Linked DNA regions of Mytilus edulis. The protein of the gene in region 4 interacts with the protein of the main gene of each other region in a pairwise test. Links are inferred from orthologs where the notes say so. Each region holds a gene or a part of one and is shown on either strand. Other genes may lie near its edges.

The links.
Region 1: the proteins of ligand of Numb protein X 2-like (region 4) and E3 ubiquitin-protein ligase MYLIP-like interact in binary tests that used the Homo sapiens proteins (3 or more experiments, as listed by UniProt). The link is inferred for Mytilus edulis from reciprocal best matches to the Homo sapiens genes LNX2 and MYLIP.
Region 2: the proteins of ligand of Numb protein X 2-like (region 4) and dual specificity mitogen-activated protein kinase kinase 5-like interact in binary tests that used the Homo sapiens proteins (3 or more experiments, as listed by UniProt). The link is inferred for Mytilus edulis from reciprocal best matches to the Homo sapiens genes LNX2 and MAP2K5.
Region 3: the proteins of ligand of Numb protein X 2-like (region 4) and 60S ribosomal export protein NMD3-like interact in a two-hybrid assay, tested with the Homo sapiens proteins (3 studies listed by BioGRID and IntAct). The link is inferred for Mytilus edulis from reciprocal best matches to the Homo sapiens genes LNX2 and NMD3.

Annotation. Positions count from the first base shown.
Region 1 is NC_092348.1:310,522-318,942, forward strand, and holds the start of E3 ubiquitin-protein ligase MYLIP-like, read right to left. Parts: upstream 3,493-8,421; 5' UTR 3,374-3,492; coding exon 3,287-3,373; intron 1,919-3,286; coding exon 1,728-1,918; intron 1-1,727. UniProt on the Homo sapiens protein: E3 ubiquitin-protein ligase that mediates ubiquitination and subsequent proteasomal degradation of myosin regulatory light chain (MRLC), LDLR, VLDLR and LRP8. Activity depends on E2 enzymes of the UBE2D family.
Region 2 is NC_092347.1:75,251,860-75,259,976, forward strand, and holds the start of dual specificity mitogen-activated protein kinase kinase 5-like, read right to left. Parts: upstream 3,212-8,117; 5' UTR 3,162-3,211; coding exon 3,060-3,161; intron 1-3,059. UniProt on the Homo sapiens protein: Acts as a scaffold for the formation of a ternary MAP3K2/MAP3K3-MAP3K5-MAPK7 signaling complex.
Region 3 is NC_092355.1:7,239,026-7,246,927, forward strand, and holds the start of 60S ribosomal export protein NMD3-like, read left to right. Parts: upstream 1-4,605; 5' UTR 4,606-4,698; coding exon 4,699-4,742; intron 4,743-7,547; coding exon 7,548-7,682; intron 7,683-7,902. UniProt on the Homo sapiens protein: Acts as an adapter for the XPO1/CRM1-mediated export of the 60S ribosomal subunit.
Region 4 is NC_092350.1:40,601,392-40,609,689, forward strand, and holds the start of ligand of Numb protein X 2-like, read right to left. Parts: upstream 3,490-8,298; 5' UTR 3,352-3,489; intron 678-3,351; exon of another isoform or gene 671-677; 5' UTR 631-670; coding exon 299-630; intron 1-298.

The DNA.
Region 1 (8,421 bases), on a different chromosome or scaffold from region 4:
TTGGGTCAGTCACCTACATGTACATTTATTTATAGGGCACTGACTAATCAAACGCAGTACTATAATTGTAAGTACATGTATTCTTTGATTCAGTCAACTCCATTGAAACATTGACTTTTTAAAAATGGCTGACTGATGTTTCTTTTACCTGGATTACCTGTATCTGTCTAAATATAATATGTCTTTGTGTTTTAATTTATTATTTAAAATGAATATTGATGATAAATACTGGCTTTTCCAATAATTTGTAAGGTGTTTAAATAATAATTATGTCACTTCAAGGAAGAAATTTCATCAGGTATATATAGATGATATATACCATGACAGATAAACAATACATGACAAGAGAAGACACCTACATAGAATGACATGGGCATGATTTGCCCAATGTTTTAATTTAAATTCTGATAATATTATAGTACAATATTAGATTAAACATTTTATTTCTACATGTATGAATAACTTAAAATTTACATCAGGGTCAGTTACCAAGAAAACTAACTACAAGCACTATAGTACCTGCTATACCGCAGATAATTAGGTGTACAATCTATGATTGAAATATTCTACTGGAAGTCAATATCTTGTTCTGAAGACAGATTCATTTCATTGTTTGTAGTCAGGTCTGACTTATTAAGATATTACATTAGCAATAATCAGTGGATGTCTTCTGACTTCATACCACAACCAATGATTTACCTTAATTGTCTGTACATAGAACTTGACACATTTTTAGTACCAAATTAGACTTCACAAAGAATCACAAGCTTCATCTAAGTAGTACATCACATGTACATTTTGTGACATACATGTATACTCATATAGCATGTATAGTTAAAATTAAAGGACGTTTTAGAACTTGACATAGGGATAAGCACCACTTACCGGTTGGACTTTAGAATCACAAACCACCTAAGTACTACATCACAATCATGTGTCATACTCATAAAATAAGGTTGTAGAATTTACCCCTCATTTGATATTTAATTACAAGACTAACAGTTTCTATAAACATGATAAACTAATCTTCATCATGTTCAAATTTGGTTTTATGTAAAACTTGATAGGGGTGAGATCCATTAAGTAAGGCCAAATATTACAAATGTACATTTGAACCATGTAGAGTCCCAGATTCTTGCAACTGAAGATGTGACTGAATTAAGAATTTGACAAAGAAAGGAACTTAAAGTCTGATGACCACAACTTCACAAGCATGGCCAGATTTGGGTGACAGATGGACAATTTAAGTACACCATAGACCAACAAGAACAACCAGTGAGACACATGGAAAAACTTGAGTGGTATAATGAGAGTTTCTACTGGTGAATGTCTTATTATTTTTTTTGGAAATTTTACCTATTCCCCATCAAAGAGACAACCTGAACTTATACAAACAGACTATGCTGATATAGGACATATACAACTAAAAACCTTTACTTGTTTTGATGTACAGAGAAGATAGCTGCTTTGACATGTACAGTTCATGTATATATACATGTATGAATTGTCACATACTGTAGATGAAAATTATAGGCAAATGGTTGCAATGTTGCTTTCAATCCAAAAACAGTTGATAAATTTCTGATACATTTTTGTAAAAAACTTTGTAAAATGCATGTCAATGGAAAGACTGCCTTTTGACCATGAACCCCAGTGGACCTGTCAACAAAATAATCATAGACATACATAAAGGGGGTCCAAAATGTATTGCCAAGTTGACAACCTACCTGCTAGATTCCTGTAACAGAAGATGGGGTTGTATGTAGAACTTGACACGGAGATGAAATCTATGAGCCCTCATTTCAGACACTTGCTGATTAATTCGGTTCCTCATGTTCAGCCAAATTTTTTCTCCTTTACTGCCACTAAATTGTAAGCCAAAATAGTCATATTCAAGGATTCCAAGATGCTGGCAAACCTAATTAACAAAAATAAATATATTAGAATGCATTACAACATTGAAAGGAGAGAAATAGAGGTAATCTAAATACTGTTGAATTATAATTGTCCACAGGCTGGCTAGATACATGTGTTTACAGAGATAGTTTGTGAATTACTTACTGTTACACAGTTACAACCTCAGATAATGTGCATTGTGTGAACTATTTAGGTTCCATAAATCAAATTACTTTCTACCCAGTATTTTTGTAAGAACAACTAGTTTTCTACTTGTACTTTAGTATATTCAATGTTACTACAGTTCAGTAACTGAGAAACAGCATGTACATGTTAATCATCATTAGAAGGAGGCTAATGTAATTACGGTGTCTCCCTGTCCATATATAGTTTGCACCTAAAAAAATACTGAGGAAAGCTAAAAGAAAGTTTAATTTGGCAATGACCAGCACTACCACAATTTAACCTTGCAATGCATGGCACAATGCCAAAAAAATTAACTGCTATGAAGATTTTACAGAGATTTTACAGAATTGGAAGAAAAAATAATTGTCAAAAAAATCAATGATTCTGTAAACAATTCCGAATTATCTCACAAGAATCTGGTTATTCCAGTTTTGGTCATACAATTGATATTTATAAAACTAAACAAATTAATTTACACAATTAATCAATACATAAAATAGGTTGCACGTTTAAGAATATATACATTCACTTGGAAAGATGTTTTTATCTTTTGGTCAAAAAAATTAAAAATACAATTATTTTATCATGTTTATGATAAAAAATGTATAAAATAAAATATTTTTTTCTGTTCTATTATCTTTTCATATCTTGACTTTAAATCTTATGTTGCAAACTTGTGTTTCTTTCAGTTTCGGAAACCCATTTCTCTTTTATAGGACAACCCATTACACATGTACTTGTTTATACTTTTGTGTATTGATTTTTCTTTTGTCAAGTCAGCTGATCAAAGTCAAATCTTCTTATTGCATCAACCATCTTCAGTCAATCACAAAGAAATTAGTCTATTACAAACAAATCTACGAACTCGGGTGAAATTTCTTAGAAATGTAATCAACTATAATGATTACAACATACATGGTAATTTTGACAGGTAACCGCTACGGGTTGATTGATCCTTTGTTTACATCCGATCACAGATTGGACTTTGGACCCTGCATGGCCATCTTCGATTTTTATGTACTTTCCCTTTGTCAAAGGCAATTTTACAAAGCAGACTACGTTTTTGCATATATAACAAGTTTCCTTATAATCATCATCAAACCACACTTAATTTATTATACAAATATTGCAGAAAAAATGGAAATTTTCTAAGTTTTCTCCAGAGAGAGTGGAATACATTTATATAGGTCACGTTCGACCTTACCTGATCTAAGCATTCTTGTCCATTCGCTCGAATATCCACATCGATTTCAATCACAACACTGTTCGGTAACACTACTGTAAATATCATTTTGTTCAAATATGCTTCTTTACGCTTAAAATGTCATTTCTTCTCTTAGAATCATCTCTTGGACGTGTTGCTATATTTGGAATCGTTGATCACATGGACTTTGACCGAGGTTCATTTTAGAAGCATAGATTCTGCGCGAACGCCTTATCCAATCAAAATAATGATAAGGCGGTAACATTAAAAACATCAACAATCCAACCACGTGTAGAAATGTCACAAATAGTTGCAATGCATCTATATTATATACTATTTCCAGGTATTACTGAATTTTATTGCAGTCAACTATGATTGCTACTATAAAATATTTTATTGCAGTCAACTATGATTGCTACTATAAAATATTTCATTTGCGTTCAAATTGATTTTCAAAAATACCATATATTATGCGAATATAAAAGTTAAACTTTATTATCTGCCGTGTGCCTAGTATTATGATCTATTATTCAGTCTAATTTGTGCTATGTCTTTCATATTCTTATTTTGCATACTATACTTTTAACGTTTACATGTCATCTATGGTATCTTACTATGTACTGTTTGTTCAAAATTGTATGTGGGTATTTATTTTCTATTTCAGTCGATTTAAAAACGGCTCACTGACTCAGAGATATTTTATAAAAGAAGATGTGGTATGGTTACCAATGAGACAACCCTTCACAAGAAACCAAATGACACTGAAATTAACAGCTTTATGACACCGTATGGCCTTCAACACTGAGTAAAGCCCATACTGACCGCATAGTCAGCGATAAAAGACTCCGAAATCACAAATGTAAATAACATCAAACGAGAAAACTAATGGCCTAATTTTAATGTACAAAAATGAACGAAAAACAAATATGTAACACAGGAACAAACGACAACCACTGAATTACAGGCTCATACATACAGAATGTGGCGGGGTTAAAAATGTTAGCGGGATCCCGACCCTCCTAACCCGGGACAGTGGTGAAACAGTACACCATTAATATTAGAACGCATGATCTATAAAAATCAGTTGAAAAACGCTCAACTCATTAGATGGATACAAATTTTAACCAAAAAAAAAACATCGAACAAAAACACAGAGTGAACGTGACGGGTACTTGTATATCCCAACAACAAAAAGATACAAGTACAGATCTGGGAGCTAAAACTGTGTTCAGAGCTTTGAAAATGATAGAACCTAATTAAGATCCGTCTCAAAAACAATGTTTTAGTTATTCGGCCAAACACGAAAATAACAGCTTCAATCATGATCACACCTCCAGTAAGTATGCATCCGCATATTTACCTTTCTCATTAGAAAAGAAGGCTTTCAGATTTACTAAACGACAATTTTTAATAAATAAAAATATTTAAAATTTATGTTTAATAAGATTTTGTAAAGTGTAGTAAATGTTTGAAAAGTCAAAACTGTCAGAAGAATAAAAATGACCATCAAAAACACGTTATTTAATTAAATGTGCCAGTCTCAGATCAGGAACTTATACTGTCTGACTTAGTTATCATTATGCATTGAGATAATTGTTTGAGTATATATCAATGAGACAGCAACAAAACGACACAAATACACGAATTGAACTCTGTTCAAATTACGATCTGTTATCGAGCTATTTGTATCTAAATGTATGCTTCAAACGAGTTACAGTAAGCCGGATCAGAGTTTTAATCAGATTGACCAAAAGATAATGCATTATGTCAAGATCTAAATAAACCGGTCACCATCGTCCTAAGTCAACAAAAAAAGTTTGGACATTCAGTCAAGTCGGATTATGAAATATGAAGAACCGCATATAATTATTGCCTTTGTAAATTGAATTATTGTAACATATTTTTTATATAAAAGAAGATGTGGTATGATTGCCAATGAGACAACTATCCACAAAAGACCAACATGACACAGACATTTACAACTTTAGGTCACCGTACGGCCTTCAACAATGAACAAAGCCCATACCGCATAGTCAGCTATAAAAGGCCCCGATAAGACAATGTAAAAACAATTCAAACGAGAAAACTAACGGCCTTAATATGTGGTCAGTTGAACTGCCCAGTAAGCCTTGCACGGTAAACTATACGTAAAAGTGGTCATAGTAATTAAAGTCTGAGGAGTCGGGGGTAGGTACAGGATGAGGTCAGTTGAACTGTCAAGTATTTCTGGTCATTTTTGTGATCTATTCAAACGTCCAATAATTCTGGTCATTTATGTAATTAGTATGTCTGTTGATTCATGTGGTCTGTTGGTGTATGCGGTGTGTTGAACTGTACAGTAAGCTTGGTGATTTATGTGGTCAGTTGAACTGTCCAGTATGTCTGTTGATTCATGTAGTCATTTGAAATGTGCAGTATGTTTGGTGATGTATGTGGTCAGTTGAACTATCCAGTATGCCTGGTGATTTAAGTGGTCAGTTGAATTTATGTGGTCAGTTGAACTGTACAGGTTAGTTGAACTGTCCAGTATGCCTGGTGATTTATGTGGTCAGTTAAACTGTCCAGTATGCCTGGTTATTTATGTGGTCAGTTGAAATGTCCAGTATGCCTGGTGATTTATGTGGTCAGTTGAACAGTCCAGTATGCCTGGTGATTTATGTGGCCAGTTGAACAGTCCAGTATGTCTGATTTATGTGGTCAGTTGAACTGCCCAGTAAGTCTTGTGATTTATGTGGTCAGTTGAACAGTCCAGTATGCCTGGTGATTTATGTGGTCAGTTAAACTGTCCAGAACGCCTGATTTATGTGGTCAGTTGAAATGTCATGTATGCCTGGTGATTTATGTAATCAGTTGAACTGTCCAGCAAACCTGGTTTATTTATGCGGTCAGTTGAACAGTCAAGGATGCCTGGTGGTTAAGATGGTCAGTTGAACAGCCCAGTATGCCTGATTATTTATGTGGTCAGTTGAAATGCTTTTTGAAAATGAAAGTAGAACAGGAGGGGGAAAAACAGCTAAGCTAAATAGTTATGTCCAGTATGCCTGGTATTTATGTGGACAGTTGAACTGTCCAGTAAGCCTTGTGATTTATGTTGTCAGTTGAAATGTCCAGTATGCCTGGTAATTTATGTGGTCAGTTGAATTGTCTAGTACGCCTGGTGATTTATGTGGTCAGTTGAACTGCTCAGTAAGCCTGGTGATTTATGTGGTCAGTTGAACAGTCCAAAATGCCTGGTGATTTATGTGGTCAGTTGAAATGTCCAGTATGCCTGGTGATTTATGTGGTCAGTTGAACTGTCCAGTATGTCTGTTGATTCATGTGGTCAGTTGACATGTTCAGTATGTTTGGTGAGGTATGTGGTTAGTTGAACTGTCCAGTATGCCTGGTGATTTATGTGGTCAGTTAAACTGTCCAGTATGCCTGGTTATTTATGTGGTCAGTTGAACAGTCCAGTAAGCCTGGTGATTTATGTGGTCAGTTGAACTGCCCAGTAAGTCTTGTGATTTATGTGGTCAGTTGAACAGTCCAGTATGCCTGGTGATTTATGTGGTCAGTTGAACTGCCCAGTAAGTCTTGTGATTTATGTGGTCAGTTGAACAGTCCAGTAAGCCTGGTGATTTATGTGGTCAGTTAAACTGTCCAGTATGCCTGGTTATTTATGTGGTCAGTTGAAATGTCCAGTAAACCAGGTGATGTATGTGGTCAGTTGAACAGTCCAGGGTTCCTGTTGATTTAGATGGTCAGTTGAAATGTCCAATATGCCTGGTGATTTATGTGGTCAGTTGAACTGTCCAGTGAATATGGTGATTTAAGTGGTCAGTTATACAGTCCAGTATGCCTGGTGATTTATGTGTTCATTTGAACATTCCAGAACGCCTGGTGATTTATGCGGTCAGTTGAAATGTCCAGTATGCCTGGTGATTTATGTGGTCAGTTGAACTGTCCAGTATGTCTGTTGATTCATGTGGTCAGTTGACATGTTCGGTATGTTTGGTGATGTATGTGGTTAGTTGAACTGTCCAGTATGCCTGGTGATTTATGTGGTCAGTTAAACTGTCCAGTATGCCTGGTGATTTATGTGGTCAGTTGAACTGCCCAGGAAGTCTGGTGATTTATGTGGTCAGTTGAACAGTCCAATATGCCTGGTGATTTATGTGGTCAGTTGAACAGTCCAGAACGCCTGGTGATTTATGTGGTCAGTTGAACTGTCCAGTGAATTTGGTGATTTAAGTGGTCAGTTGAACAGTCCAGTATGGCTGGTGATTTATGTGGTCTGTTGAACAGTCCAGAACGCCTGGTGATTTATGTGGTCAGTTGAACTGCCCAGTAAGTCTGGTGATTTATGTGGTCAGTTGAACAGTCCAGTAAGCCTGGTGATTTATGTGGTCAGTTGAACTGCCCAGTAAGCCTGGCGATTCATGTAGTCTGATGTACTGTCTAGTATGCCTGGTGATTTATGTGGTCAGTTGAACTGTCCAGTAAGCCTGGTGATGTATGTGGTCTGTTGAACAGTCCAGGATGCCTGGTGATTTAGATGGTCAGTTGAAATGTCCAATATGCCTGGTGATTTATGTGGTCAGTTGAACTGTCCAGTGAATCTGGTGATTTATGTGGTCTGTTGAACAGTCCAGTATGCATGGTGATTTATGTGGTCAGTTGAACAGTACAGAACGCCTGGTGATTTATGTGGTCAGTTGAACAGTCCAGTATGCCTGATGATTTATGTGGTCAGTTGAAATGTCCAGTATGCCTGGTGATTTATGGGGTCAGTTGAACTGTCCAGTATGCCTGGTGATTTATGTGGTCAGTTGAACTGTCCAGTAAGCCTGGTGATTTATGTGGTCAGTTGAACTGTCCAGTATGCCTGGTGATTTATGTGGTCGGTTGAACTGTCCAGTAAGCCTGATGATTTATTTGCCAGTTGAACAGTCCAGTATGTCTGATTTATGTGGTCAGTTGAACTGTCCAGTATGTCTGATTTATGTGGTCAGTTGAACTGTCCAGTATGCCTGGTGATTTATGTGGTCAGTTGAACTATCCAGTACGCCTGGTGATTTATGGGGTCAGTTGAAATGTCCAGTACATGTATGCCTGGTGATTTATGTGGTCAGTTGAACTGTCCAGTATGCCAGGTG
Region 2 (8,117 bases), on a different chromosome or scaffold from region 4:
AGTCAAATTAACAAACTAAACTCTCGCTTGAACCATAATCTTTATCTTTCCTTAAGAAAGAATCTAACTTAGACTGCTTTCCTGGTCGTGCCATGATGAAATAACCCAAATAGCGGGTAGGGCACTTCCACCTTCTTCGTGGGAAAGTGATGTAGGGATGTTTTTGAACTTCGATTATCAAAGAAATTGTTTATTAAAACTGCAACTACAATGTCACAATTGTTTTATTCTTACTGCTGAAAGCCTATGATATTTGTCATCAAACGCAGTACCGCTTTTGACACCTTCCTTTGAAGTGTAACATGTTTATAGAACTTAGACAATAGGTCAGTTGATTAGTAATCACGTTAAATAATTCTGTTAAATTACTGTTTTATATAGTAATACTTGTTTGAATGTTAAAACAGATTGAATGCGACGACATTAGGCTAGCTTTTGTCATCTCTTCGGATACTTATTACGTGCGGACAACCCATGCTTTGCAAATTTTAGGGGGGGGGGGGGGGGGGCGCACGCCCGCCACCAGAACTATATCCGCCCCGCCCAAATCCGCCCCTGCATTTAATCAAAGAGCTGATAGCTCTGAAGTGGAAGAAGGTGAATAAAAGGTAACTTGAATTACCATAAAAGCAGCCCCACTTACCCAGGCTGCTTTGTTCCATTATCGTTAAAATGTATTTTTTTTCTTCAAACAAGAAAAGGTCATAAGTACATGGATTTCCCATCCGTACAATCATTTTCTATGTTCAGTTGACTATGAAAATTAGGTAAAATCTTTAATTTGGCAGTAATTAAGAAGATCATATCAAGAGGAACACATGTGTACTAAGTTTCAAGTTGATTGGATTTCAACTTCATCAAAAACTACCTCGACCATAAACTTTATAACCAGAAGCAGGACGGACGGACAGACTAGAAAACATATTGCCCATAAATGGAGCATAAAAATAGTAAGACTTGTTACATACCTGCCAACTTTTGAAAGTTCCCATATGGGTTTTTACTGCACAACAACAAAATTAAAGGTTACAATTTTTAGCGATGTATTTTGCAAGATCTGGATTGTCTAGAAAAAGTGTCATATTTGTATGAACTTACATGACTTACATGCCTTTTCCTTAAGTCTGTTTGCATAATTCTAGTTATATATTAAATCGGTAGAAAAATTATACATGAAGCTAGCAGAAGCTAGACTATTAGCCTAGTTGCAAATATTGTATGTTGCCTTCTAACTAAACAAATTTAATATATAAACTTCAATTTAATCCTTGAAAGGAGGTCTAAATTAATAAAATAATTTATAAATTTTAATTTTTTTATTTGTCCAAAATCATTTAAATTCATTTAATTAACATCCTTTTATGATTATTTGATTAAAATATTAATCATTTATAGTCTTTTTACCATTTACATTTTTAAAAGCAAAATAACTGAAAACAGGATAAAACAAAGGGAAGTAACAAAAAAGTATTTCAATATTCCCAATACACATCGTTTTGATAACACAACGGCAGTTAGCCGGAGGTAAACATCGTTGATTACCAGTATGTTTGACACCCAAGCTGTCAAGTGAAGCCATATAATTATACATCTTCTTTGATGTTCAGGTAAAATTTAACACAGGTGTCAATTACACCCGTACAGTAGTAAGAAATGATCAAATATGGCGTCTGAAAAATTTCATACACAGGAGTTTTTTCTCCTAAACGGGAGGTTCACATGTATGTTACGAAGGGCATCTAATTCACATGACAAAGGAAACCCATGAATAAAGATAACACTTTATATATCTTTTTTATTTATATAAAAATAAAATCTTCTTGTCTGCAGGATTGCAAATTCGTAACTTCAAGGGTGAACTTGTAAACAGGGCGAGTTGTACCGATACCAAATTCACGCATGCGTAATACAAATATCTACAGTTAAAACATCCTGTTACAAGTAAACAAATTACGTTCATGTGGATGAGATGAAATCTAATAATTTACATAAATAAAAGGGTCATATTTACGATAGTGATTGTTTTACAATCATAATTTACAAATTAAATGATTCAGATGCCCAATCATGTGTAAAAATCGGTGTCAGGAATCTAAGTTGTCTTGAAATTGTAATACACGAAATGAATGCGGCATACGGAGACTCAAAGCCAATGGTCGGCCCCTTAAGTCTTCAGAAGACTTGACGTCTTCTTCCACTAAAAAATGTATGCAATCTTTTTTTTATTTATTAAAGACTCAAAATCAAAAATCAGATTAAAACTGTAATTACCTTGTATATTAGACATTAGGAAAGAGTTCCCTTCTTTTTTGCTTTTTAACTTGATGTCTTGAATTCAGATATAACCCCCTTGTCAATAGTTGTTCACGACAGAGACATATTTACCCCCCCTCTTTTTTATGGGGAAAAGTTTGGTTGATTAAGTAGGGAAAAACTGAAGTACAACGTATGACTGGAGACTGGAGTGGGCCCCTTTATTGGCAATCAGTCCCCCTTCCCTGGGCCCCTTTATAAAAGTCTTGATCTGTGTCACTGCACGAGAGGTTTGATTACCAACTTCCAGCAGAGTTTAGGCCAGGACACATTAAGAAATAAAATAGATTTTTAAGACCTCAAAAACTCAGAATTTATTAGGTGTAATATTTGGAAAGGGAGGTCATGTCAGTTTCTCTGCAATTATATGTATTACTGGTTAAAATATTTCTCAGTTGTTGTCATTATCAAACTATTGACATATATCAAAATATTTATTGTTGGATGTCATTATAGTTAAATTAGCACACCTTAAATGTCCTTGTACAATATTTGCATCCTTCACTTGCTTCAGCTTGTGATATAAAATATTTTTTTCTCTATATCATTGTATATACACATGTATACCGTTATTCTCATCAACAAATAAAAAGATATATATTTATATATAGATTCTCAAAATTCAAAGTGTTATTTGGTAAATCAGTGTGATATTTACAAAGAAAAGCATTGTAAACAATGGTATAACTACAGTTTGAGAGCCTAATTTATCATCATGTTGTTTTTTGTAAGATTGATTTTCTCACTAATGCCTGATTAAATGTGATCTGATCAGGTTGCACCATCCAATCCATATCTTGTTCTTGTTCTGTACGAATTCGAACAGTAAATGTTGGCTGCAAAGCCATTTTCTCTGTTTACTTCCCAAAAAATTTCACTTTTAAAGGGAGATAAGCAACAAGTTGAAACGTTATAAATTGTGACCTACAGTTTCGAGAGAGCCGATGTTATCCTTTTGTTTTATTTCGTGTTTTTTTTCACGTTTAAAATAACGCTTCTAAATTAATAAAAATATTTAAAAAGAGCAATATCACATAGTACAAGGTTGAAAATTATTTTTAATCAGAATAAAATGTTTAAATCCAGACTGTTCACAAGTCTGTCCGCGAAAAGACATTACATTTGCTAATTTTATGTATTATTATTAATAATTATAAAATCTTGCATTTAAAGGCTCAATGTACCTCCTATATGTGTTGTTTCTAAACATGTCATGTCTGTCATTTGTCATGAAAAAATGTTTTTGCCAACCCCCACCCCTGAATCTAATTATAAAACATACTGAGAACTCCGATTTTGTTATACTCTTATATATATCTGGAACTATTATACTAGTCCCAGCTGATATGGAGAATAGATTGTGTTTCACCATGATTTTTATTTTGAACTTTCCATTCGGTCAAGTGGTAGATTTATTCAGTGACATACATATGGCTGCATTGTATAACATAGTTGAATAATAAATGACATAATTTTGTGGTACGCAACTCCTAAGCAGAGACTAGATTTTACAAATATTATAGCAATGCATTTCTAATCATGGAGAGTCCATGGTATATGTATATACATATATAAATGTTAACAAATCTATATGGATATGTGTGTATATGTATATGTAAATTATTGTGAAATTTTTGTAATAATTCTTGATTTGAAACCAATAAAAAAAATCATTTTGTCTTATGAATTTTCAGCGTTGTATGTTATCATTCTGAAGTAACTGATACGTAGGGTGTCAACAAGAGGAGTAGAAACAACATTCACGACAGATGAGCATTAGAGTTCATGCTGCCAGGCTGTTTCCGAGCGGTCTATAATGTTGCTTTACTGAAATCAGTAGGAAGTACAGAGATCAATATCACTAGTAAACTGTTACGAAGAAGACACGATAAGATTCTCTCATAGTCCTCGTTGATACCAGTCTTACTATACAAATCCTCTGGGATAAATTCCACGTATGTTTTTGTGTAGATCATACAGTTTTCGTGGTCCAAATAGTTATAAGATCAATAGAAGGCATCGGTCCTTAACTTTATTCTTTTTGAGTGTTCAAAATGGAGAACTATTTTTATATATTGTTAATAAAATACATGTGCAATATATATATATATATATATATATCCACAACTTATCGGCAAAAAGGATTAAATAATAAACTGTTAAAAGTAAGAGAGAGTTCTGTCATGACTATGCGGTTATTCAAGACTTAAATGTAGTTTCTAAAGAAGCCGGTACTAATAATGTAAGAGGTTGTAGGTATATAAATTTTTAGAGGCGAGTATACTTTAAAGATAATCATGCAATACCACAATTAAGATTTAGAGAGGATTACGCAATTCGCGTACAACCCCATCGCATATATATTCCTTCAAGCCATGAGTGGGACGCCTGCGTTGGTTTATTGTCATATTCATTGATACAGTCATTTAGGATCATTTAGATGTCTATAAAACCACATTGTCTCCCGGTTGGTTTAATGCTACCTTAAAATATCATAAGTCTTCCCATATATTACTGGCAGGCTTAAAGGGTGACTGAGTCACCGCTTATAATAACTTGATTGGCCGGACCATGTTAAATCAAATCAGAAATCAAATCAACATTCTGTTTTTCTTATTTAGAGAATATAAATCAATAAATAAAAATAATAAATCATACAATATACAGACATACATCACATGCAACCTAATATATATACTGATTAGATTAATAACAAACATTGAAAACTATTTTTTTTTTTCAGAATTAATACACAGAGGTTAACAGGTCCATAACCAGTACAAAGAGGGACAACTCAATTTCTTAACTCTAACTTAATTTTTTTCCCCTGTCTTTTTTATATTTGAAATACTCATATTACTCATATTTGAAAGTATATTTAAAGTAATTATATGTGCGGACTTTTGCCAGCTGTTTTCAATTTCTCGATCTTAAAGTCATTACAACAGTTTATCTTTTCTTTATGACCTGACTGGCCTTAAAAAGACTACAAATGCATATATCATGCGTACATGCATATACATAATATAAGTATGCAATGTAATACAGCAGTGTTATATGTGTACTAAGCCTTAAAGGTCTCTCGGGGGAGAGGAATGACAATGATCCATCATAATTCAGTTATATAAGCATATGTATAATATAAATAAAATAGCTATAGTACAGGAATCAATGTATAATAATGGTGAAATCAGTAAAAACAATAATAGTATAAGATTACTTGAACTGTTCATTTCTTCGAATTCATTTTTTACGGCAAAAGAGATTTGGCGATTGATTGCTGGGCTTGAGAGAGAAACAGAAGAAGGTCAAACGAATCACCTTACATATCGACAGCAGAGAACATAAGTTATCCATTAATTGAAATTGGTTTTGAACTAGCTTTAGTAATTTTGAGTATTTTCCCTTTTAATTATTTTGTGTGTGTGATTAACGACATTAATGCCAATCTGATGAGTAAAGCCTTTTTCCAACAAAATTTCATAGTTTGTTCATATTGTGCTGTGTCACCACTGTACCAGTTTTAGAGAGGGTTAAGCCTTCACAAACCTGTTATTCCTTTTGTCCCTGTCCCAAGTCAGGAGCCTGTCATTTGCTGTTGTTAATTTCTGTCTTTCTTATTTGTTTGCCGTGTGCCAATTGTTTTATGATAATATAGGGCGTTGTGTTTTTCGTTTGAAGTATTTCAAATTTTGTTATCTCGAGGCTCACGGTAGTTTACCATACAGCATTGGTTTTACTCATTGTAAAGACTGTACAGTTCCCTATATAAAAAAGAAGATGTGGTATGATTGCTCATGGGACATATCCCTACAAGAGACCAATTGGCACAGAAAATAACAACTATAGGTCACAGTACGTCTTTTACCTATAGTTGTTTACACTCTCGTCTCTGGTCCCTAGTGGGTAGCTGTCTCATTGGAATTATACCACATTTCTTTATTTTTTATGTTAACATATATGAATCATTAATTCGGCAAAAAGTTGATACTATTATACCATTTAGTGAGCTGACAAATAACTGCTTGCATAAAGTAGATAAGGTGTAATGGTTCATATATATAGTTAACAGAAATTTCCAAAAATATTGTACACATAGAAAAATAGCTCTGATACTTAAACAATAGGTACATCAATTGGCCATCTCTATCAACATTTTAACTAAGTTATCTAATTACTGAAAATGGAAACTTTTGAAAGATCAAAATTATTTCAGATGTGTCAATTTTTTTTTAACTAAGATATCAAAATCCCCCCCCCCCTTCTTTTGACATTAATACTGAAATGTGCCAATGATTGAAACAACAACCCCACCAAAGAGTAGAGAATAATACATGTAAATTTAATTCCATAATATTAGTTGATAATGAAGATTTTATATTGACAGACTTTTATTTTCTTTATTTTCTAAATAAATAAAAGAAAGTAGGGGTACTGGATGTATCAGATGCTCATCCCTGTCACAAAAGGTCCGAAGTGCTCTTCCCAGTTAAAATATGGTCGATTTTAAACCGGAAAATGAATGCATATTAAACATTGAACAATCAATCAGTTATTAGTAACCTTAAATTGTCATCATAAATAAAGCTGTATGTTTGCATTGACAGTCTGTTCCGGATTTTTTTAGGTGCAATTTTACAAATTTGGCACCAAACGCCTATAATTGCTCATACTGAATTCTTACGAAAGCAAATAATACCTCAAGTAGTAATGTCTATTTTTTAGAACTATAGCACAGAATAAAATATCTTTATTCACCAAATAAAGGCACAAGGAGAGAGCAAACATAGAGTTTCATCTGGCTTACAACAGTGACGTCCAACTCTGAATAACTTACTACTTTATGTATACAGTAATAAAAGTGTTTCGAAACTTGATAATTTCGCATATTTCACGAATACAATAATACTATTGCAAAACTTGTTTTCGGGTACTTAATTAAAAAAATATTCTGAATTCAGATTTTTCCGTTACCTTATAAATAGTGTTTTAAACTTTTGAAAAATATAATTGATTGGAAGCGTGCCGTCGAAAAACTAAATAAAAATGTTTGCGCTTTGCACGTAAAAAAGATTTGGGACTCATAAAAAATACCCCCTGAAGTTAAATGGTTGCTCCCATAGATTTACAGTTAATTTGAAACCGTGCCTGTCAAACATTGAACCGTTTTGATTGGCTTACTTAGGTGCACTTGATTTCGCGCCTTTTCTAAGTCCGTGCGATTCTAAACATCTTCGTCGCAGTAAGATCAGACTTGTTTGAGTAAGTAAAACAAATACAGAAATTGTAAAATTATTGTCAAACTTAAATAACTTCCATGGTTCTACAAAATTCTTTTTGTGTTAATATATCCACGTTTGCCAAAAAAATATAATGTAAAAGATACAACTTGATGAAAAGATTCAATGACAAAAGGGGTATATACAAATTGGAAATGGTGCAAATGAAATATTTTGAATTTAGGTAATTCTTTGATAAGTGCAAATAACCAGTTGTTAAAATTGTAATCTTTTAACTATTTGCTATATAATTGATCATAATTTTCTTTGTTTATGCAACATTGAAAAATGACCCGTGTCGCTGTATTAAATATTGTTCGCCGGACAAAAAATTCCCAGAAAAAGTTGTCCACGTATAATTGTATTTTAAGAAACTTTCGTCTTTCAAGGACAATATATATTGTATAATGTTTTTTTCTCAACGGAATGTTAAGTAGTTCTTTTGACGATATTTAAGGTTCATCATAACAAACGGACAAATATGGCTGTATTTACATGTCAAAAACTACTCCGAGTACAGACTTG
Region 3 (7,902 bases), on a different chromosome or scaffold from region 4:
AAATGAGGAATTAACCGCCAAGTCGATTTTTTTCAAGTTTATAGTATTGGGTTAACTGCCGGTTTGTATAGTATTTGTAATGAACAAAGTTGGGGGGGGGGGGGGGGGGGGGAGAATGACACTAAATTGGATTATTTATTAACAGTTCCCCTTAAGTTATATATAGGCCCTAGTACATATAAGCATTTTAGGTCTTTTCCTTTTGAGTTCAGTGAAAATATCACTATATGTTCCAGACCATATGAGTATGTGGACCGTACGCGTACGATCCGGACCGTATACATATACTCATATGGTCCGACCATAGTATGGAACGCCGTAACTGCCTTATTTGTACTTGTTTCTAGATACGCTTATACTTTTCAATATATGCACATAGTTTTTCTATATATGCACATACTTTTTCTCTATATGCACATAGTTTATTTTATATGCATATAGTTTTTCTATATATGCACATAGTTTACTTTATATGCACATAGTTTACTTTATATGCACATAGTTGTTCTATATATGCACATAGTTTACTTTATATGCACATAGTTTTTCTATATATGCACAAATATATTTTATTTTGGTCCAGGGGCCAAAACAAGAGGCCCAAATGTGTCTAAGTCATATTTCAGGCATGCCTCATGTCCCTGGAACTACTTCTTCATTGTTGCATATGAGTGTCCATCATCTGTAGATGTGCAATAAGTAATTAAAAATAGTAATATTTCAAAACAATGTGGGGTGCGGGTATTGATGTCGTTCCGACAGCCCTACTTCTAGTTGCAATTAGTTTTAGCACCGTTGGGGCTTTGATTATAATTGCATATTCCTGTTAGTTGCACATTTTTGGCCAGGTGAGCTTTTGTCATCACTTGGCGTCCGTCGTCCGTCCGTCCGTAAACTTTTACATTCTGATCTTCTCCTCTGAAACCCCTGGGTCAATTGAACTGAAACTTGGTATGAAGCATCCATGGGAGGTCCTTTACAAAATTTGCATAAATCATCCAGGTCCGTTAAAAACAAAATGGCTGCCATGAGGATTTACATGTTTTGATTGGTTGAAATTTAAAACTTCTTCTCCTCTGTAAAAGTAGAGCCAAATGAACTGAAACTTGGTATGAACCATCCATGGGAGGTCCTATACCAAGCATACCAGGTGAGGTTACAGGCTCACCACTTGAGCCTCTTGTTCTATAACAAATTGGTTATGTGATTAAAAGGAATCCACTGTATACTACTTGACTTTGACCTCATAAAACATTGCAAGTGCCAAATATGTCTTATTTCCATATTTATTAAGTTCACAGAAGACTTAACCCGTACATGTATTATTATACTAAGCTCAAAGTGTAAATGCTTTATGCATTACAATTTACATCTACTTGTTCATAAAATGCAATCTTTTTGAATGAAATTTCATGTCATTTTTATGCCGCATCTTTGCAAATACAACAGCTTTTGAACACTTTGCAACACTAGTCCATCATTATATATAAAAGAACTGATAGGGGGAAAAAAACACATGATATATCATCCCACCACAGAACAGCACAAGGACATGCACAAAACAACAGCCAAAGGTCACTGTAGTGGTCTTCAACAATGGCATCACCTACACTACCAAGTGAGTTCAAGCAGGCTCCTTACAAAAAGTGCAAGCAACTAGACATAAACAACCTGGAAGACACAGCGACAAAATGACCCCATGAAAACAAAACAACAAATAAAAACAAGACAGCCACTGAACACTGGATCCTGGCTTGGGACAGGCACATAAAGTATGTCAAGGTCACAAACTCTTGTAACTGGGGGTACCTTATACGGAATAATTTACTATTTATGTTGATGGGTACGTGGGGTAGCCCTGTGTGAGCATTGCATAAAATACCTCTAGTTTTACTTTTATAACTACTACATGTCAATATGTTCTGTAATCAGAACCTGGTTTGAGACGAGCTATGTAATGCTAGATTGCCTATATTTTGTGGTTGCTGGTGAATAATAGAGAAAAGTTTAGGTACTAAGTTATCTTAACTGTTGATAAAGGTGCAGAATCAATACAAAATCTTCCTAGTACCAAAAACAATATTATGTCTTTAATCATGCTAAAACAACAACAAAAACTATGTTTTACTTTAAATCACATGTAATTTTAATGATTTTGTTAATGTTAATTATTTGCCGAAATGATCTCCAAAGACTTTAAATAGTCATCAATACCAAAGTTCTCGCCTGATCGATTCAATTCATTATTTAGGATCTCCCTACATTGTTCATTTATAAGATTTAAGGGTTGAAAAATTGGCCTTTCTCCATCTCTGGTAGCTTCATTGTTCTGTTCTCCAACTCCTAATTCTGGTAATTCCGTCTCATTCATTTGCATGCCAACTGGGTTCTGAACTTGCCCTGAGCCCCAAAGCTGCAGGGGAGTAGCCTTAACGGTCCTTATTCTGTGACAACCCCATGCTGTAGACCACACATTCAGTCTTCTGTTAATTTCATCCTTGAAATTATAGTGCAGCGCTGCCAAATGTAGATCAATTTAAGGGGTCAAGGATATCATGATCCTCCATGTAGTAGAAAAGATTATAAAAATAGCACAAGACGCCTTCAAAAATGTCCCTCCAGAGTCTTTCGATCCGTTGATTATGTGTACTGGGACCTGTGATCATGCCGCTTTCACCTCGTTCCGTCAGCATAAAATCTGCTACAGAAACATTTTCCCGTCCCTTGTCGGATCTTACTTTTAATGGTATGCCATAATTATCAACACCGGTGAGGAAGCTTTCCAACACAGTTTTAGAAGTGTTATTGTCATTACACGAAAGAAACATAATCATCCTACTAAACCCGTCAATGCCACCAATTATTACAAACCGCCATCGAATTAGTTTATGGTTGGTGTCTATGTGCCACAAATGGTTAGGGGCCATTACGTTATAAGTTCTCCGATGGAGACGACCAGCTTTCCTTGCTCGAACTCCAGACGAATCTATTTCATGAATGCAGTCCCTTAGTCGCCATCGTTGTATTTTTAAACCCTTCGTTCTTAACAGTTGTGGAAGCATTTGCTCGCCACACATTGGGAAATCTTTAATGGTTTCCGAAACTACTCTTTCCAGATCACCATCGTCTATTTCTGAAAAGCCTTGTTTTGACAATCCAAACTGAGCCATTCGGCGATATATTGTGCGCTCTGATACTCATAAAAGTTTTGCAATATCGGATATTTGGAATCCACAATCTAACAAACTGTCTAATGTTAATTTATCAATATCAAATTTTGGTGCTCCAGAGTATCCTCCTATTTTCTGTGGTTTGGATTTTCCATATTTTACACATTCTGCCCGCAATCTCATCATGTCGGTTGCGTTTGGAATACCTAAAAACTGCAAATTTTGTTTTGAAAGCAGACTTATTATATCAGGAGTTATAGCTTCCCGTTCAAAACTTTCGTAAACTTCTTGCCTGAAATATGACTTAGACACATTTGGGCCTCTTGTTTTGGCCCCTGGACCAAAATAAAATATATTTGTGCATATATAGAAAAACTATGTGCATATAAAGTAAACTATGTGCATATATAGAAAAACTATGTGCATATAAAGTAAACTATGTGCATATATAGAAAAACTATGTGCATATAAAGTAAACTATGTGCATATATAGAAAAACTATGTGCATATCAAGTAAACTATGTGCATATAGAGAAAAAGTATGTGCATATATAGAAAAACGATGTGCATATATTGAAAAGTATAAGCGTATCTAGAAACAAGTACACATAAGGCAGTTACGGCGTTCCATACATACGCGTACGGTTGGACCGCATGAGTATACGCGTACGGTCCAGCTGATGTTTTGGGATCACATGGGTTAAACTTAAACAAATATTTGTTTTACATGTATGAGGATAAAATGATTAAGCAAACAATTGAAATTAAATACGTGTTTATTTGTATATGCGTAAATTCTATTTTGGTACTCAAGGTGACACTGACTTCCACCACAGACATATATACACATGTGTATATATGTCTCTGCTTCCACTAAGGACGTCATATTTTTTTTTTACAGTAACATAATTTGTTCATGCACGTTGCTTTGCATTTTTTTTGTAAAGTTCCTTAATATTCTAAAACGATTGTCCTCTCAGTCTTAGTTTACTTCCGATAACTTCAATTTCACTTAGCATATACTTGGCTTCAATTTATGAATTACTGAAAAGCTAAATACAGGAAATTAACAGATTAAATCAACGTTATATGTATAACCAGAGACATATAAACACATATATATGTCTCTGGTATAACCGACTTTAAATAAATCTTTTATGCTTTATAACGTGATTTTTTTAAATCGTTTTAACATTATTTTGTTTTATTTCATTTACTATTGAACTTATTACATTAATTTGAGATATAAGTTTGTATGTTGATCAGTTATATACATTTGTATCTGATAAACGTGACCAACTTCTTAATATTAGTCAGACCGTACGCGTACGGTCGGACCCAAATACTCTAAGTCTTATGGTCTGGAACATATATATATATATTCACGAAAGCGACAGACACGGAAATTAAATCACCGTTTTTCGACTTGAAATTTACTCTTTTCAAAGAATTTCCGGTCAAACGTCATTTCGATTTCACCACATGGTCACAGATTTAACATCTAAACAACTGTTTAGAGTTTATCGTAATGGAATACACGTTTGAAAGTAAACCGGGTACTACCGGATTTATGTAAGATAATTGTCAGAAAGTCTCAAGATCAATATTTTACTTGATCATTGACATAATTTGGGTTCTGTTGTAAACTGAAGTGATGTTTGTTGAGCTTTCTTAGATCTTCATAGGGTTGTCCCTGTTAAAAATTCTTTGTACACAGTAATTTTCCGATTTTGCCTCTAGAGGTGATCAAGTAAGAAAATCAGAAAAGGCACAGAATAACCCCTCTGCAGGCCCGTAGCCAGGAATTTAAAAAAAAGAGGGGGGGATACTGGAATACAATAGGGCTCTTCACGGTTAGTTCGGCCATATTGGATAGGGGGCAGATTTTCATATTAGAGGTAAAAATGGTGTGAAAAAAACGGGAAAACATCATTAAAACAGAGCTGTTGCTTGGAAACACACATAGGATTTCCCACACTTTCATACTATTTCCACCTCCTTCCAAAAAATCTGCCCCCTATCCAATATGGCCGAACTAACCGTGAAGAGCCCTATTATACTCAATGTTTCACTAACAGCTACAATTCCAATAGTGTCGACTTTAACAGTGCTTATTTGTTTAAAGGGGGGGGGGGGTCCGGACAAATCCCTGGCACCCCCTGCTACATGTGCTCTGTGTACATTAGATCTAGTCCAAATAATTATGACATCTGTCAAGGCTATTTTATTTTTTTCTGGGAAGCCTTAGAAAAAAATTAAATAACCTTGCCAGACGTCATAATTAATTGGACTTCATTAGATCCAGAGACTTCCAGATACTACCTTAGATTGGTTTAGTAGCATTTTAATAGACTGGTTTAGAATCTAGACAACTTTTATCAAGGACATATAACTAACATATATATATATTCATGCTTTCATTAATGAAATTTTTTTATTTTACCAACTTTTGAAGCTTGAGTTTATTTTTTTTCCCCCCCGACTAAGCATTTTAAGGTTACCAAATCTTTGATATGACATCCTGATAAGTAAGAGCAACTGAAAGAATTTAAATAAAGCTTGTAATACAGTGCTCTAGTTAGAAATCAAAAGGGGCAGGGTGCCAGTGGAGGGCAGGGCACTTTTTATGATAAGAAAAGGCACTGCTCATTTTTTTGTCTACGTTTCTGTGGGTATCACGAGTTAACGAATCTCTCTTTTTTTTTTTTTACTGTATATGTTTTTTTTTTAAATAAAGATGCTTTTCAACTATAGTCTTTATTTCATTGTTTGTGTAGTTATGAATGATATAGTACATCTTCATAAACATGTTATGTTTATACAGTTTAACTTCACTCTACCCATTATCAAAGAATATGTGTTTTTTTAGCTATATAGGAATTATAGCTTTTAATACATCTTAAAATCAGAAATTGAGAGCATTACTAATTTAGCAATGTTTAGAACATGGATTGCTAAAAGTATAATTATCAAGTAGAAATTGCAATATATATTTTTTAATATGTTCAAAGACAGTTAATATCTTCAAGGTAACATTATTATGTTATTATATATTCAATTGGTAATTTATTCCTTTTTTTGATACTAGATAATATTTTTAGAGCACAAATTTGTAATAAGCTAAAACAGGGGAAGTAACTCCAAAATCAATTTCCACCACGTTTGGGTTAATTAAAAACTGTGCTTGTCGCTAACAAGTTGAGATGGAAGGCATTTCTGTAAAGGCATAGTTTTATTTTGATGACTTCAATTCAATTCTAAATTCATGAAAGTCTTCATTTATATACGCTCTTCCATTGTGACTTGGAGATCGAAAATGCCGACCCAAGCTAAACACACTCGCTGACACATTCATCAAAAGTATGACAAAAAGATACATTGTCCTAATTAAATTACCTAGTTATTAACACCTTTGAAGTCTTTATCATTGTACTTGATTGTAATGACATGATTAAGCTGGGGGCAATCACACAGGTGTCATATATGTAATTAACTTGGAGATCAGAAATCGATGAAACAAAATTTTACCAAAACGGCACAAGATAATTTTGGAAAAAAGACGTCAGGGCAGAAGGGCGCGGATGAAGGCACCCAGGGCGCGGCTGAGGGCACCCAGGGCGCGGCGCCCTTCTATTTAGGGCTAGCGAGACCACTGTAATAGGTACTATTTTTGGGGAACATTTACTGTTTCATGATTATACATGTACATGTCAAAATCATTGGAAAACAGCAAAAACTTTCTCTTTTAATAGTTTGCACCGATTATTTTATTTGATTTGACTTCTAATGTTTGCTTTAACCATTTGTTAACTTGAATTAGTACCATGCCAGCAGTCACTGCCAGTCAGAGCTCAGGCATAAATAAGTCTAAATTTGATTTTGACTCTATCATCTTGGTCTTTATTTTTCTCCCTTTGATTTAAGACAAATTATGACGTGTAATGCAAGTAAATATTTGACCTGAATTAAAAAGTTGCTAATATTGACAGCTACAAAAAAAAAATTCTCTCAAATTTTTTGCTAGAAAAGGAGGAGGGGGATGCTGACAATGTAACTGGTAACAGTGTGAACTATAAAGGTCCAATGTTGGTATTAAATAAAGGCAACAGTAGTAAAACTGTATACCTCTGTTCAAAACTCATAAATCAATAGAAAAAAACAAATCTGGGCTACTAACTAAAACTGAGGGTAACACATTAAATATAAGAGAACAACGTCACAACATTAAAACGTAACACACACATTAACGAACTAAGCATTAGACAAAATCCGGAATACACTAAGTAACTTACTCTTGCATCATTTAAAAGATTTAAAAAAAACATTATTTAAGTATATTAATGAAGAAACATATGAAGTTTCATTTTTTTGTTGCAGATTATGTTGTCAATGTGGGACCCAGATAGAACCAAATCCTTCCAACATGTGTGTAGCTTGTCTTAGAACACAAGTTGATATAACAGAAGGTATTCCTAAACAGGGGGTGTTGTACTTCTGTAGAAATTGTGAAAGGTTTGTATTGTATTAATAGATATATCATAAGAAAATGTGGAATAAAGAGACAATTCACCATGAAAGTCACAGTTTATAAAAGTAAACCATTATAGATCAAAGTACGGTCTTCTGCCTTTACTCACACAGAACAGCAAGCTATAGATGTCCCGAAAAATGACTAGTGTAAAACCATTCAAATGGGAATACCCAACAGTCTAATCTACATAAAAAACGAGAA
Region 4 (8,298 bases):
AAGATTTTTCCTTTCGTACATTTGGTCAGCTCTATGAAAGCAGTGTACAAGGACAGTATACATGTACATACATGTACCTATGTTTTTGACCGTTTCATCTTAACACACTGTACTTTTGGTTTCATAACTGGTCACTGTCTGATAGGAATCAAACTTTTTACTGGTCAGTGGACAAATAAATGGACCTACCGTCTGACAATTACACTGGACAGATGGTGGTAATCATATCTGGTCTGTGGCTATATATCTAATAGGAATCATAATTTTAACAGGTCAGTGGATGAATAAATGGACCTACCTTCTGACTAGTACACTGGACTGCTGATAATCATTTCTGGTCAGCAGCTGTCTGTCTACTGGACACTGGTTTTGTATACACAGGTAATTCTCTAGGCATTTTGTGCAAAATGTATGACTACATTTAGTGTCCACAGGATTAACTAGAGGTTGAAGACAGATGTGACACATCAAATCTTCATCAACAGCTTGATAGTAGTCAAACAAATGGTTTCCATCCCCTTCATGGAATTGCCCACAGTTTGGACACACAGTTTGTCCTTGATTTCTGAATTGGCTGACTGTCAAGGTCAAAGCAGAATCATTTTCATAGTCATGATATGACAGGGCCATGCTACTACACTCGTCTCAGATTGTCAGCTCATTCTTCCTTCTGAAAAATTATACGAAATGTGTTACTTAAAAGTATGTATCAACAGAAACTTCTTCATTGTACCTTATAACTCTTCTATAATTAAATACATCCATTATTTGATAAATATTCATATTGTATGTCAAAAAATAAATTAATTTTCAAAGTTTTTTTAAAAACAAGAGTTCATGTGCTGAAATGTTTTGCCTGCTTTAATTATAGTTATTCAGAACATGAAATTCTGATACATTTCTTATGATCTCAAAAAGTTTTAATTTTAAAATGAAATGTTGCTACATGTACATGTAAAGTCATTAATCAGCAATGGTAAAATACATAACAGAAAATGACCTTCACAAATCAATAATGACACAATTTTCTAATCTGATAAAAACTTAATATTTTCAAGAATGAGGTTGCCCATTCAGAAAACAAATTCAAAACTCATTGTTCACATTATTATTTATTTTAAAGAAAAGGTCAAAGGGAAGTAACTTTTGCTCATCTATTTATGCAGCAGCAAAACTCTGTGTTGAACCATGCTATTGACACAGTAAAATGGTATTGTTGTACAAACATTTGTTATATATATACAGCCATTCATTGACTGAAGTGTAATGAAATTGCATGAAATAATTGCCACTATAACTTTAGCAAGCAACATCATTCAATCAAGAATGGTATAAAGCCTTAAAGACATAAATAATATGTTAGGATGGTAGAGTTTTTACATCATCTAAGTCCAAAATGCACTGTTATCTCCCTATTTGTTATTGTATCCATCTCATGAATTATATGTAAGACTTTTTCAACTGATTTTAACAGTTCGTTATTATGTTGTTTGGTTACACCACTGTGACACTGTCCCAGGTTAGGAGAGGGTTGGGATCCCTCTAACCATGCCACATTTTGTACATGTATGTGTCTGTCCTGAGTCAAGACCCTGTAATTCGGTGGTTGTCGTTTGTTGCTGTGTCACATATTTTTTTTCCTTCATTTCTTTGGTACATAAATTAGACCATTAGTTTTCTCCTTTGAGTTGTTTTAAATTTGTGATTTCAGGGTCTTTTATAGCTGACTGTATACATGCTGTATGGGCTTTGCTCATTGGTGAAGTCTGTATGATGACCTATAGCTGTTTAAAATTTCTGTGTCATTTGGTCTCTTGTGGAGAGTTGTGTCATTGGCAATCGTACCACATCTTTTTTGTTTCATGCATTTTAAATGTTTTCTTTTACTGAAATTTATCAACATGCATTAAATGAGAACATGTCTCACACAGTTATTCATATACACAAACAAAATTTTTCATTGACACTTCTATAAGGCAAACAAAACAGTCATTCAATTATGAATTTCAAAGAAGTTTTTAATTTTATTAAATCATAAATAGAAGGCATTTATCACATTTAAATTTTCATTGTGAAAAATGATGGCAATTAATATATGACTATAATCATGATAATTGATTACATATTGCAGTGTAAAATATAATTAAACTAATTTGAACAATCATGGCGTTGACCATACTTATACTACATGTACATTTTGACAATGAGCAAAACTAATACCGGTACAGACTAGCAAGCTAGCTATAATGGCTATAAAAGACTTCAACATGACAAAATGTGAAATATTGCATAAACAAAACCATATATTATATTGGTCTGCCATTAAAGGCATTACAGACTTTGTTGTAAAATTTTCATGTCATATCAGAGACTGGCCACAAACTGATGCCCCCACACTCCACACTGAAGTAACTGTATTATAACTAAGTCAATGTGAGACTTTCTTTGAGATATTATTGTCTGAGAAACACAAATGATGCCCCCACAGATCCAAAGATTAATTTTAAAATACACAAAAGTGAGCAATGGAGCACATAGGTTTATTTTTCACTGTAGGAGGACCTCTTATTCAAGTATACATGTACATTGTATACTCCAAAGATGACAAAGTTCAACTATCTCCCAAAATAGCATGTAGAAATCAAAACCCTGACCACATGAACACATTCAAAAATATGTAAAAAAAGCCAGCAAAGTGAAAACTATATACCTAAATTGGGACAGACGGGTGGAAATTAGTACAGGCGATCAGACAGGGGTAAAACAATATGCCCCAGAACTTTTAGTTGTGGGGCATAAAAATGAATAAAGATTGTAGTTCAACTGTTACAAATTCTCATTTCTCAGATTCCTTATGTATATATGTTTCTTTTTGGAACCATAAAGCAAACTACAGGATACCTCCTAATGGAAAAATGTGAAAACTCAACATCCATACTAAAAATAACTCAAATGAGGAGAAGAAAAGAAAAACAATTACCGTCACACAGTAGCCAACGACAACCACTAGAACACAGACTTCTGGATGCAGACAGGCACATTAAAAGAGTGTTTGGGTAAACTAAAACATGTCTGTTAGTGCTTAACCATTCTCACAACCTTGGACATTCCTTTGTAGTTCCAAAGACATCAACATTAGTTTGGAGTTGTGCAACAGGTCTGCAATAAACTCTTGCTGGCATTGTTTGTTTTGAATTGTCATTTGTTACTGGATGTTAAACAAGCAAGAATCAATCATAAAAATGAACATGTACCAATCCGCAAATTGGAATAAATTTCTATTCAGACTAGTCTGTATTTTAATATATAATTACAGCAACTTTTAACAATAATAACAGACATTACATATACCTGAATAAAATTATACAACTTTTCCATTTGATCTGAAAATTAGGCGTGGCTTTTGTGTGTATATTATTGTTGTCTTTTGATGTGAAATCTATTTTTGGTGATTCATGCAATATGCTTTCAGAATAAACAAACTTCCGAAGGTTTTCACATTATGTACTGAGAAGATCTAGAGAGAGCCGAGTTTTATTTTTTTTTTATCAACAAAACTGTTTTATTTGTAAAAGCTGGCTGGTAAAAAATGTATAAATCACTGTTTAAAACGGTATATATAATGTTAATTCAACTGTATGACTCCAAGCTCTACTTTTATCAGGAATATATTTTTTTCTAATGCTTTGCGGTGTCTGGTTTTTAAGTTTTATTTCCCGAAATAAACTGCGATTTGTGACAGGGAACCAGTTGTTGGTGTTCCTAAGTTTAGAGTCAAATAATTAAAACACGTATAAATCCGGAAAAGATGAAGAAATAAAATAGTTTACAGTAAAATAGAAACACGATGATTAAAAAGATAAAACGGAATAGACAGTTGAGTGAATGAACGAATTCCTTATGATATCCACATGGTAAATCATCGTCAATCAGTCAATTAATCAATTAATTAATCAATCAACTTTAATTAATCAATCAATCAATTAAGCAACCAATCAATCAATCGTGAATGTATGAATGAACGAACGAATAAATGAATCTATCAGAATAAATCAATCACGAACGAGGCCGAATAAACGAACTAGTAATGCCCTTTAACGTCAGGCGTCAAACAGTCATTTCGGCTACCGTTAGCGTCAAATTGATTAAAATAAGTGTACATTTTATCGTCATGTATATATATACCAAAAGTTACCGTTAACGTCATTTGGCAAGAATTTTTACCGTTATTCGTCATGAAGTTACCCCAATTACGACCCTCAAAAACGAACGGCCGAACGAACAAATGAATGAAATCGGCTCAAGGCGACTGAAAATAAACAAACACAACTACCAAATACATATAGTGTTACAAGCGACGCACTAACATATACATACCTGTCAACCTGTGATGATGAAAATGCAGGTCATGACCTGCATTGAAGAATCAAATCTCAGGTCATAACGCGTACGAACTTTTTCGAGCTGAATTTCAGTATTTATGGTACATTTTCTTATAATGTATATCAAAGATACCAAAACATCAATGCATGTTCACTTGCCTTGGTTAAGTCATTTTATATCTTATTTATTAATATTTCATTATACTTTTAAAGATTTTTATTAACTTGTGTATCACAGTCTTATGTCATTTACTTTTTGTCAACATCTAAAATTTATTTTTCAAATGTAATTTTAAAATGAGACTACTGGCCTTTGAACATACCATGTAGAGGTATTACATGTATGAACATTCATCACTCAATACAACAAATGGAAGTTTTTAACGACCTTGACTGGCTATACAGCCCTCCCTCAATTGCCAAGGAAATTAGACTATGAAAAAATATAGTAATACAGTTAAAGGAAGTATAAATGTAAAAAATAATTTTCAACTTTTTTTTAAAAATTGTATAAAGGTATAAAAATAATGAAAAGTTATTTTTCAATATGTATTTGAATTTTATATTATTATGATTTTAATCTTTTTCACCCATAAAACGTAAATATAATGAATAATTTTGAATGGTGACAAATAAGGGGAAGTAACTCTTAGTTGAAATATCTTTGTAAAACAACAGGGCAATTTATTTACGACCTAAAGCTAAGGTAATTGGTGTTAATCAACAGTGTGTTTGACACCAAAGCTGTCAAGTGAAGCCATGCACTTAATTTGACAGTTTACATAGCTAGATGAACTGCATGTTTATGGAAGAATTACGAATTTGCCGGTATTTCAAAAGAAATACGGGTGAAATCGGGTCATTTTCGGAATTTCCGGGTTATTTCAATGACCCGGCGGGTGATCCGGGTGATCCCTCAGAATTGTGAAAATCTCGGGTCACACCCGCAGAGTCCGGGTCAGTTGACAGGTATGCATATATCTTTTAAAAGCTATAAAAACATATCCAAACTTTATGGGTCAGTTACGAGTTTTCTCATTGTTGAAGACCGAATTAATCAAATTGAGCATGGAAATGGGGAATGTGTCAAAAAGACAACAAACCGACCATAGAGATGCTGGCCCCTAAACAAATATGTATACTAGTTCAGTGATAATGGACGTCAAACTCCGAATTATACACAAGAAACTAAATTTGAAAATCATACAAGACTAACAAAGGCCAGAGACTCCTGACTTGAGACAGACGCAAAATGCGGCGGGGTCACATATTTTTGAGATCTCAACCCTCCCCTTATACCTCTAGCCAAAGTAGTTACTTATAATGACTTAATAATTACCGTGGTACCCACTTCATTTGAACTTTGGTGGATATCTGTCCTTTTGGCAATGATACCACATCTACATACTATAAAGTTTAACAGATTGACCAGAGAATAAGGGCCGAGTAATTGATACTTTGAACGACAATTCAAAGTCAATTGGCAAATATTTCAATGACCTACAGAACGAGAATTGAAAAAAAGAGAATAAGAATGAATCTATAGGTAGAAATTTTGAAATGAAATAGGATCATCTATAAAGAGCTCTCAGTGAGCTAGAGATTTTTGTAAATTTAATGCACCCACATTTCTTATGAATATTTATAAACATTTCTATGATAACAAATTGTTCTTTGATGCTTAAAAAAGGAATGGCGTTTTAAGGAAATGAATTGCACGACATATGCCAAGAGTTAGGGATCACTACATGAACCCGATGCAAGACGTTTTAACGGCAACACTTCCGGTTCGGGCATAGTCGTTTCGGCCATACGTTGTGAATTCGTTTCTGTATTTTGTTTGCGGGGTAAAAATCGCATTTGTGTTAACAATCGAAACCCCGTATGTGGCTTGCAAAATGTTGATTTCTTCCAGGGTTTATTACTACATTTGATATATAGATAGAGTAATATAGAGCAGTGAAGTGACCATTCTATAGAAAATATCCAGGCAATATTGATTTCATGCACTTTATTGATATATTATGAAGATATGAAAGTTTACAAAATGATATATATTTGAACAACCAGTCAAGAAAACAGTTTTATTAGAAAAAAGTTTTGCATTGTGCATTGATGAATCTACAATGTTACAATTATGCACAAAGGAAAGTAACTTCAATTCACTACATGCTTGATTTCAAGTTCGATGCAAAAAAGCAATCTAAACTTTTTAGGCAGTGCGCATAAGCACTTTGAATTTTTACAAGCCTATATATATTGAAATGAAGGTACATATAAATATTTCTACTCACAGACATGAAGAAACAAATGAAGAAAAAATACATAATCATGTATAGTTTGACTTCTATAAATTGTGACTTGGATGGAGAGTTGTCTCATAGGCACTCATACCACATCTTCTTATATCCGTATAGTCATTTGTATTAATGTAGGTGTTATAAAATTGAGAATGGAAATAGGGAATGTGTCAAAGAGACAACAACCCGACCAAATAAAAAACAACAGCAGAGGGTCACCAACAGGTCTTCAATGTAGCGAGAAATTCCCGCACCCGGAGGCGTCCCTCAGCTGGCCCCTAAACAAATATATACTAGTCCAGTGATAATGAACGCCATACTAATTTAAATTGTACACAAGAAACTAAAATTAAAATAATACAAGACAAACAAAGGCCAGAGGCTCCGGACTTGGGACAGGCGCAAAAATGCGGCGGGGTTAAACATGTTTGTGAGATCTCAACCCTCCCCCTATACCTCTAACCAATGTAGAAAAGTAAACGCATAACAATACGCACATTAAAATTCAGTTCAAGAGAAGTCCGAGTCTGATGTCAGAAGATGTAACCAAAGAAAATAAACAAAATGACAATAATACATAAATAACAACAGACTACTAGCAGTTAACTGACATGCCAGCTCCAGACTTCAATTAAACTGACTGAAAGATTATGATTTCATCATATGAACATCAGGCACAATCCTTCCCGTTAGGGGTTTAGTATCATACCATCATAACATATATGAGAAGAACATAACCCGTGTCATGCCAACAACCGTTTTTAGAATAAATGTGTTTAGTTCCGATGCAAAGACCTTATCAGTGACTCAATATTAACGCCAAAATATGCAATCTTTAATGACTTGACAACAGTATCGTAATTATATCCCTTCTTAATAAGTCTATTCAAAAGTTTTGTAAGTTTCTGAGGTGAATACTGACACCTTTGTGCTTTATAAAGAATATTTCCATAAAAAATTGGATGTGTTATAAGAATATTTTGAAAGGGCGAATATCAACAAGAACAAAATAAAGTGTCAGATTAACGGGAGCCGGTATGCATGTCGGATTAACGAGATTTCGAAATATCAAAACGAGATAAAAAGCTTTAGGGGTATTGACTCTCGTGTTACCTCTTCTTCTTCTTTTTCTATTAGCTGAAATAAATCCAATGAAGTTTTATTTTAATTAATGTTAATTTAAAGTTGGTTTCTCTGAAGGCACCAGCATATAATATATCGATTTTTTTTAATATACCGTTTGGCTTTTTTTTTATTTACGGCATTCAGTTTGTATACTCTTATTTACATTTGTGTATGTTATCTGAAAAATCAGTCTGGCGACTATAAGTACATAGATATACATGTACAAAACTTTTTACTGGTCAGTGGACAAATAAATGGACCTACCGTCTGACAATTACACTGGACAGATGGTGGTAATCATATCTGGTCTGTGGCTATATATCTAATAGGAATCATAATTTTAACAGGTCAGTGGATGAATAAATGGACCTACCTTCTGACTAGTACACTGGACTGCTGATAATCATTTCTGGTCAGCAGCTGTCTGTCTACTGGACACTGGTTTTGTATACACAGGTAATTCTCTAGGCATTTTGTGCAAAATGTATGAC